Linked DNA regions of Callithrix jacchus. The protein of the gene in region 1 purifies or fractionates together with the protein of each later gene. This does not show direct contact. Links are inferred from orthologs where the notes say so. Each region holds a gene or a part of one and is shown on either strand. Other genes may lie near its edges.

What was found.
Region 2: the proteins of CCNL1 (region 1) and CSNK2A2 purify together in Homo sapiens (affinity purification with mass spectrometry; 4 studies listed by BioGRID and IntAct, with this or other methods). This does not show direct contact. The link is inferred for Callithrix jacchus from reciprocal best matches to the Homo sapiens genes CCNL1 and CSNK2A2.

What each region holds. Positions count from the first base shown.
Region 1 is NC_133518.1:28,385,386-28,389,195, forward strand, and holds part of CCNL1 (cyclin-L1), read left to right. Parts: intron 1-520; coding exon 521-641; intron 642-1,440; coding exon 1,441-1,505; intron 1,506-1,747; coding exon of another isoform or gene 1,748-1,772; exon of another isoform or gene 1,773-3,215; intron 3,216-3,297; coding exon 3,298-3,397; intron 3,398-3,504; coding exon 3,505-3,609; intron 3,610-3,706; coding exon 3,707-3,810. UniProt on the Homo sapiens protein: Involved in pre-mRNA splicing. Functions in association with cyclin-dependent kinases (CDKs). Inhibited by the CDK-specific inhibitor CDKN1A/p21. May play a role in the regulation of RNA polymerase II (pol II).
Region 2 is NC_133521.1:16,079,277-16,083,684, forward strand, and holds the start of CSNK2A2 (casein kinase II subunit alpha'), read right to left. Parts: upstream 2,910-4,408; 5' UTR 2,540-2,909; coding exon 2,436-2,539; intron 1,993-2,435; exon of another isoform or gene 1,819-1,992; intron 1,644-1,818; coding exon 1,532-1,643; intron 1-1,531.

The DNA.
Region 1 (3,810 bases):
ACTGTAAATCTTAGGAGCACGTTAGTTTTTTGTGTTTTTTTAAGCCAGTCAAATTTAGCAGTGGGGGATTGTCTACCAACTTTAGTGACACTGATGTTAGTAAGTTCTGATAACCCACTGCTGTCGGACCAGCCTGGAGCATACTAGTTTTGTCAGTGGAAAGTCTCTTAGACTTTGAGGTTTGTGATAACAAATCACACTATCACTAAAGTTAAATACGTATACACACACACACACACCCCTAGAATATAAGCAGAATGGAAAAGTTGACAAGGATGAACCCAAGAGCATTAGATTGAATTTTTTTCATTATAGAATTTAGTTGAACTTAGTCTCGTAGATGTATATATTTAATTAGCATAACTTGGACAGCACAAGATTAATGCTTTAACTTGTTTGCAGGAGTTTAAAAAGCTGGTTTCTGTTGCCAATAGTTGGTTGGAAGGGAAAATGGAGATGCCACAAATAAAATTTTTTGGATGTGCAAAACAGTTTTGATTTTATTTCTTACAAACTATAGGACTCCAAGCCCCCTGATCCTTGATCAGAACTACATTAACACCAAAAATCAAGTTATCAAAGCAGAGAGGAGGGTGCTAAAGGAGTTGGGATTTTGTGTTCATGTCAAGCATCCTCATAAGGTGAGTTGTAGAGTACAGAAATTGGGTTCGTAAGTATTAGGACTTCTCCAAAATTTCTACTTTATATGAATTTATGTTTCTATGTGAGTGTTAACCTTGGTTTTAAAATAAAAAGCGTTTTTTTTTAAAGGTTCAGGCTTCATCAAAAAACATTCTTTTGGGTGTTGAGATTGATCAGTAAAATTGAGAGTACAAAAATCTAGGTTCAAATCTTAATTCTGTGGTCATAAAGAAGTTATTTTTGTTTCTGTGGTTTAAAGTCTCAGTTTTTCCACCAAGAGAACAGAGATGTAAAGTTCCTTGTTCCAAGAGATAAATATGTAGGTACAGAAGTATTTGGCACACTTAACATCATAGTAGAATGTTCTAAGTGTGGTAGCTGCTCACTGTAAAACATTGGAAATTTGTTTCTCTCTAAATCTCTTAGCATTCATTATTGTCAATATAAGTTGTAGAGCGAGTGCTCAGGTCAGAACTATCTGGGCTAGAAATGTACCTTGGGAAATTAGGTGAAATAATCTCCTAGCACAGTGCCCGTCACGTGGTAAAGTGCCAATGAAAAATATTCTTTAATTGCCTTTTTTCCTGTACAATTTTGAAATACAGTTCTAAACATAATTTATATAAAAATCTAGTAATACAATTCACATTAGAATCTTACATACATTTAAGTTGGTCTGTCTTATTGATGTAGAATTAGAACTTGAATCTAACATTTTCAGTTACTTTTTTTATTGAACTCTGTAGTCTGAAAGAACTACCAGTATACTAAACTGAGTTTTTTTCCCTTGTCCTTCAGATCATTGTTATGTATTTACAAGTCTTAGAATGTGAACGTAATCAAACCCTGGTTCAAACTGCCTGGTAAGTCACTTTTTTAGATTTCTTTCCTAGCCAGGAAAACAGAAGCAGAAATAAAGTAAGTTTCGTTTCCCTTTCCAAAATAATGAGATAAGTTTGTTTTGGGGCTTTTTGTTGTTGTTTTTGTTTTTTTAACCAAAAGGTAAATAATGCTTATTTCTGCTTCCTGTTTTCTTGGCTTGACTAATTACTTTTAATGGAGAACTCAATTTAACTTTGTTCTTTTTTCTACTCTTTAATTAAAGGGTAGTCCATGATGGTAAGTCATAGAACTCTGCCCTCTGCACTTCAGCCCATGACCTCAGGATGGCCTGATTGGCTACCCTGCTCTCCAGCCAATCCAGTGCAAGCTCTCATCCGAGATTCACTGAAGTGGTCCATATCCATCTGGCAGCATCTTCTAGTTCTGTCGGGGTGTCAAAAGGATTTGTATATTTGCTTCTAGAAGTAACTATTTGACATGCCTATGTATTTAATGTATACTTGTAACTATCAAAATGAATAGTTCATTTTTGATAGATTTGTTGTCCAGCCATTATGAATTAAATGGTTTATTAGGAGTTTGACTAAATTTTTATTTTTAGTATGTATAGCATGAATTCTACCAAAGGAGACTACAAACTTGCAGTTTAAAATGGGCACCAGTTCCCACACTGGCTTAATTTATATAGTTATATAGCTGCTTGGCTGTATTGCTGGTAATGTTAGAAGTAAGAAGCACTTCGTTATTGAAAGAGATGTTACTATTATACTGCTTAAATGCTTTAGCACTTGGACTTTTTGAGATGCAGATGTGTGATTTTGCGTTCTGGCTTATTTAAAGGTCAAGCCAAGGAGTTTGTGGTTCAGCCACAACTACTGTTTCCTTAAGACTTGATGTGAAGGACTTAGTGAAGTAATTTTTATATTTTGGACTTCCCAGCAAGATGTCCTATTTATGACTGCCATGCTTCTTTTGGACTCAGTAAATGTTTGTAATGTTAGAAAAGTCTCGTTACTTTTATAAAATGCATGACATTTTAAATGTGTTTCATAAAATGGATTATAGCAGTTCTGATGGTTTAGGATTTTTTAGAAATCGTCCGTTTAATTTCAGCTTAACCTTTTAAATGACCTGTAAATTTTCTTTATTAGTTTAGGAATATTGTGGGGAGAGTTCATTAATAATAAAAGTTCAGCAATTTTTTAACTGAAATAGTTTATCTCTTTTACCTAGTCACAAAAAAAAGGTATGTAAACAAGGCCATTATGTTTTTATTGCTCTTTACTTCCCTATCTAGATTTTCTAAAGTATCTTAGCTTTCTTAATGTAAGTTTAACTTGGTACTTACTGAAAATGTTTTTTTACCCCTGTTAACGATACTTTGAGCTTTTGAAATGAACTTGGTTGACACAGCTTTATTGTGGATAAAGGAGAGATGGTCAATAATTAATGGCTTGAAGTATTGTTGGAGTGGTTTATCATTTCTGAAACTAATCTTGTCAGAATTGACTTTGAAAGCATTGCTTTTTACAGAAATAATACTTTAGGAGTAATTTCTAGTTGGATAGTAATACGAAATAATTTAAAGGGGCTTTGGTCATATATATTGGAGAACTGCAAATGGTCCTCGTATTAAATTCTTACTGCTTACTGCTTTTTTTTGAGTTAAGAGTTGTTATATGCTAGAATATGAGGATGTGAATATAAATAAGAGAAGAAAAAAGAATAAAGTAGATTGAGTCTCCAATTTTATGTAAGCTTCAGAAGAACTGGTTTGTTTACATACAAGCTTATAGTTGAAATATTTTTCAGGAATTACATGAACGACAGTCTACGAACCAATGTTTTTGTTCGATTTCAACCAGAGACTATAGCATGTGCTTGCATCTACCTTGCAGCTAGAGCACTTCAGGTAGGTGCCTATTTCCCATTTTGTTCTGTAGGATAAATAACACAAATTTTCCATGGTTCCAATACAGATATAACAAAAATTTAAACCATTCTGTTCTTATGGTTTAGATTCCATTGCCAACTCGTCCCCATTGGTTTCTTCTTTTTGGTACTACAGAAGAGGAAATCCAGGATATCTGCATAGAAACACTTAGGCTTTATACCAGAAAAAAGGTATTATCTATTTACTCTTTTAAGTCAACATGCTAAGAGTCTAAGCTACTATAAGGGAGAAACACAAACTTTTTTTTTTTTTTTTTTCCTTAAACAGCCAAACTATGAATTACTGGAAAAAGAAGTAGAAAAAAGAAAAGTAGCCCTACAAGAAGCCAAATTAAAAGCAAAGGGATTGAATCCTGATGGAACTCCAGCCCT
Region 2 (4,408 bases), on another chromosome or scaffold:
ATTTATATTTAGGGAAGAGAGGAGTCACACTCAGTATCTTCAACATCAATTCCTCACAGATTCTGATCCCTAGTGTGTCTGAGAACACAAGTAACTGTCTATTTCTCTTTCTTGCAATTCTGCTCCTTCATCACTAGGCTAGGATGTATTGAGTGATGGAGTTGATCATTTTTCTGAAAGGTGATTACCAGAAAGCTAACATTGACCCCTCACATTAAACAGGGATTACCTATACAGCTGCCCTAACACACAGAAACAGCTTTTCAATACCACATTCTTAGTCCACAGAACCTCTGCAAAAGGGCCACACTGGAAATCACATGTATACAAAAGTGCTTACATTACTCTTCCATCTTCTCAATCTCTCACTGAATGACACGTGCCCACATGAAATAATCTGGCAATAATGAGGACCCATCAAAGATTCTACCAATTACTTTTTACCACACCCTATAAAACATTATTAAAGCTACACAATTAATCTTTTACCTGAAGGAAAATTTAGCCGACCCTTCATGCTCATTAAAATCATCTTCATCAAAGAGATAACAAAAGCACAGCATTATCAAACTGAGATCGCTAAACCATATGTTAAGAGTTTTGTTCCAGTGATTACTTTAGAAATCATAAGTGAATTCTATATTTTTACTAGCTGATAAGCAACAAAGGCTCTCTGGCTTTCTAACAAGGCTTCTCAGCCCTACTAGTGCACTATATCCACGCCACCTGAAACTTTACTGCCAAAGAAGAAAAAACAAGTGATTATCCACTAAGGAATTTCCTTCAACTTGGGCTCGCAATACATCTCTGAAGTCACTCCAGTTTTGTCCAGCTTTCTTTATGGAATAAGGTAGATCACGCACCAAGAGTAACAAACAGTGCTCAAGGAGACCTGAAATTGAGAATGGCTTTTTGGTCTTTTGAATACCTATTTATTTTCTAACAAATGGAGCCCTTTTGGAATTTCTGCTTTAGGCACCTATAATTTACATTTTAGAACACCTTCCTGAACTTAAGAGTTGGGCTTAGATTTGTGACCAGTCTGCACATTTCCTTGAAAGTTCACAGGAAAATGGGGTGGAAAAAGAAGTAATGAAGGGTCATCAGAGAAGTAAAATTTGAGTGTGGGCTGGGCACAGTGGCTCATGCTTGTAACCCCAGCAACTTTGGGAAGCCTGCAAGGAGTCGTTCTGGAGGACTGCTTGAGCTCAGGAGTTTAAGACCAGCCTGGGCAACATGACCAGACCCTGTCTGTACAAAAAAATTTTTTTAAATAGCTGGGCATGATGGCATGCACCTGTAGTCCCAGCTACTTGGGAGGCTGAGAAGGGAGGATCACTTGAGCCCAGGAGTTGAAGGCTGCAGTGAACCATAATCTGCACTCCAGCCTGGGTTACAGAGTGAGACTCTGACTCTAAATAAGTAATTAAATTCAAGCTTGCACTGCCCATTCTAGAATGTGACTGGGGTAGCTTACATCCTTTTGCCCTGTGGGGGAACAAATGTTATTTATCACTCATAGGACACTCACCTTGAGGATTTTTACAACCACTCTCTCATTGTTGGTGATGTTAATGGCCTCAAATACTTCACTATATTTTCCCCGACCAAGTTTTCGAACCAGTTGGTAATCATCTTGATTACTGTAAAAGGTAAGAGACAGACACACATAAATGCCAGGACTGGGGGTTAGCCAAGCCTATGCCCACTATACACGTCATCCAGCCGCTTCCGCCAGGCAAACACTTGGAAGTGTCTACACATCACGTCACAACTCATTCCCTAAATGAAAGCCACGACGTAATCTTGGCTCCCTTCACTCTGCAGAGCTCCTAACCTAACTGGTCTCTCCTAACTTGGGAAGATGGGGTAGAAAGGCAACGCTCTGAGCCAATCCAGAGGGGCGAACAAAGCACCCGTCCTGAAGGCCTAGAGGGTGCCCCCTCTGCCCCGCGGCTTCACAGCACCTGCTTCCCGTTTCACACCCTGAAGGTAGACAATCCCTGTTTTAAAAATGTGGACGTCTTTAAGAAATTTCCTCCCACTACCTCATCTCAGAAAACCGAAAAGGCAGAGAATTTTAATAGCTCCAGAGGACAGCTGTTGACTTCCCACCCTAGTGGAAACCCAAAAGTGTGAGAAGGGCTGCTCCCTCACTTCCACCCAGCGCCGATCCGTGCACCCCACACTTCTCTCCGAGTAAAAAAATCATTCCTTGGGGGAAAGGGGTGCGCAAAGCGGGGAGAAAGGGACGAAACCGGGGTAAAGGGGAGGGAAGAGGAAGACGAGGACATGTGCGAGAGCGGGACCTCTGTCTCCAGCGGGGCCGCGGAGGGATCGGCGGGAGACACCACCCCGGCCGAGTGCGGGTCGCGGGGGGCGGCCGGGCGGAGACAGGGGTCAGCGGGCCCGGCGGGGGACGGCGGCGGCTTTACCCCCAGCTCGGGACGTGAGACTCGTAGTCCCAGTACTCGCGGCTCCTCAGGCTGTTCACCTCGGCGTAGACCCGGGCCCTGCTGCCCGCGGCCGGGCCGGGCATGGCGGGCGGGACCGGGGGGCGGCGCGGGGCGCAGAGGGTGGCGGCGGCGGCGCGGCGGAGGGCGCGGGGCGGCGGGCGGAGGAGGCGGCTGGCCGCCGGGCTCTGGAGAAGGAGGAGGAGGAGCGCGGTAGCGGGCGGCCGCGCCAGGCCGGGCCCGCGGGGGCGGGCGGGCTGGGGGCGCGGGGGGCGCCGGCCGAGCCGGCCCGGCCCTGGAGCGGCCGGCGGAGCGGCGGGGCGGGCGGCGCTCGCGCTCCGCGGCGGTCTCCGCTCGGCTCGCGGCCCCCAGGAGGCGGCGGCGGCGGCACCGGCAGCGGCAGCCACCGGCCGGGAAAGGGGCAGCGGCGGCAGCAGCGGAGAAGAAGGAGGAGAGGAGGAGGAGGCGGAGGAAACCCGGAAAAGGGGCCGCGCTCACGGGGAGCGGCCGCCGCCCGGCCTGGGGCCGCCCAGGCTCACAGCGCCCCCTGCAGCGCGGGGGGACCCGCCGGGCGGTGCCGACCCCGCCCCGGCCCCACCCCAGCACGCCCCGCCCCCTCCCCCGCGCCCTCCCCCACCTTGGCCCTCCCGCTGCCCCAGGCCGGGCTGTCCAAATCGCCTCACCCTCCGGCTGGCCTTACCTCACGCCACAGGAGCCCCCACTTCCACTGGCCGTTGCCTTAGAACCCTCCCCTTCGAGTCCCGACCCTTTCAAGATTGTCGGTGGAGACCCTGCCCCCAGCTCTGCAGTTGCCCAGCTTTTACCCCCACACACCTCCCATACCCTCTTCTCGCCCAAACTGTCAAGTCTCTCTCCAGGGCCTCGCTCAAACCTCAGAACCTCTCCCACCTCAATACTTCTCCCTTCCCCCGAGACGTACCCCTCCTTCCCCCTCTGGACCCTTCCCTGTTCCCGCAGACTCCTCAGTCCCCAAGACTTCCCACCCTCTTCATTCAGAGTCCTCCTCACAAAACCCTTATACATTTCCCCCAAAAGCCCCTCCAGAGCCTTCCCTGAGAACCCTCTGAATACCCACTTTGGTCACTTGGTTAAGCTGGAGTCGGCCAGGTTGTGCCACCGCAAAGTTACAATTTTTCCCTTTGTGATTAGTAAGTCGCTTGTGGGGAGAGACGTTGAGAGTCTGTAAATCTCCTGTTTTTGTTGAGGAGGAGGGAGAGCAGGAGAATGTAAATTTGACCTGAAGGGACAGACTGAGATTGGGTATGCACCGGGATGGGTGGCCAGCTGAGCTGGCCTGGCTTCCAGTGTTGCCTGCGGCCCTGGACACTCCTCTCTTTTGACATTCTAGGCCCTTCTTCTGACTTTCTTTCTCATCCAGCATCCTTTCGCGACACAACCTCTTCACCCAGTCCAGGTTGCTCTGATTCCAATCCCTTTTCACATTCTGTTTTCTGGATGAAACTCTGGGCCTTCCTCCTTGACAAAGCTAAGAGCACAGACTGTGGAGTCAGATCTATCCAGTACTGCTGCTTACAAGCTGTGTGACCTTGGGCCAATTATTCAACCTCTCTGTTTCACAGATTCTACAGCATAAAATCAGTAATAGCACCCACTTCACAGGGCTGCAAGGAGAACTAAACAAAATAAACCATGTGAAACACTTAGGATGATGTTCAATATTAAGATACTATATGTCGAATATTATCATTACCAGACACAGGGCCTTGCTCCTATCACTCTTCCCTCCTTGAGACCACCACACGTCCATCTTTCAGTTCCTTCCATCCTCTAAGCTTGACTAGGAGCCACCCCCAACTCCTCCTCCCCACGTTCCCAAGGGTGACTCCTTTTTTCTATTCAAGTTTCACCTTTTTCTTTATTAGTAGTATTTTTTAGAGATAGGGTCTTGCAATATTGCCCAGGCCGGAGTGCAG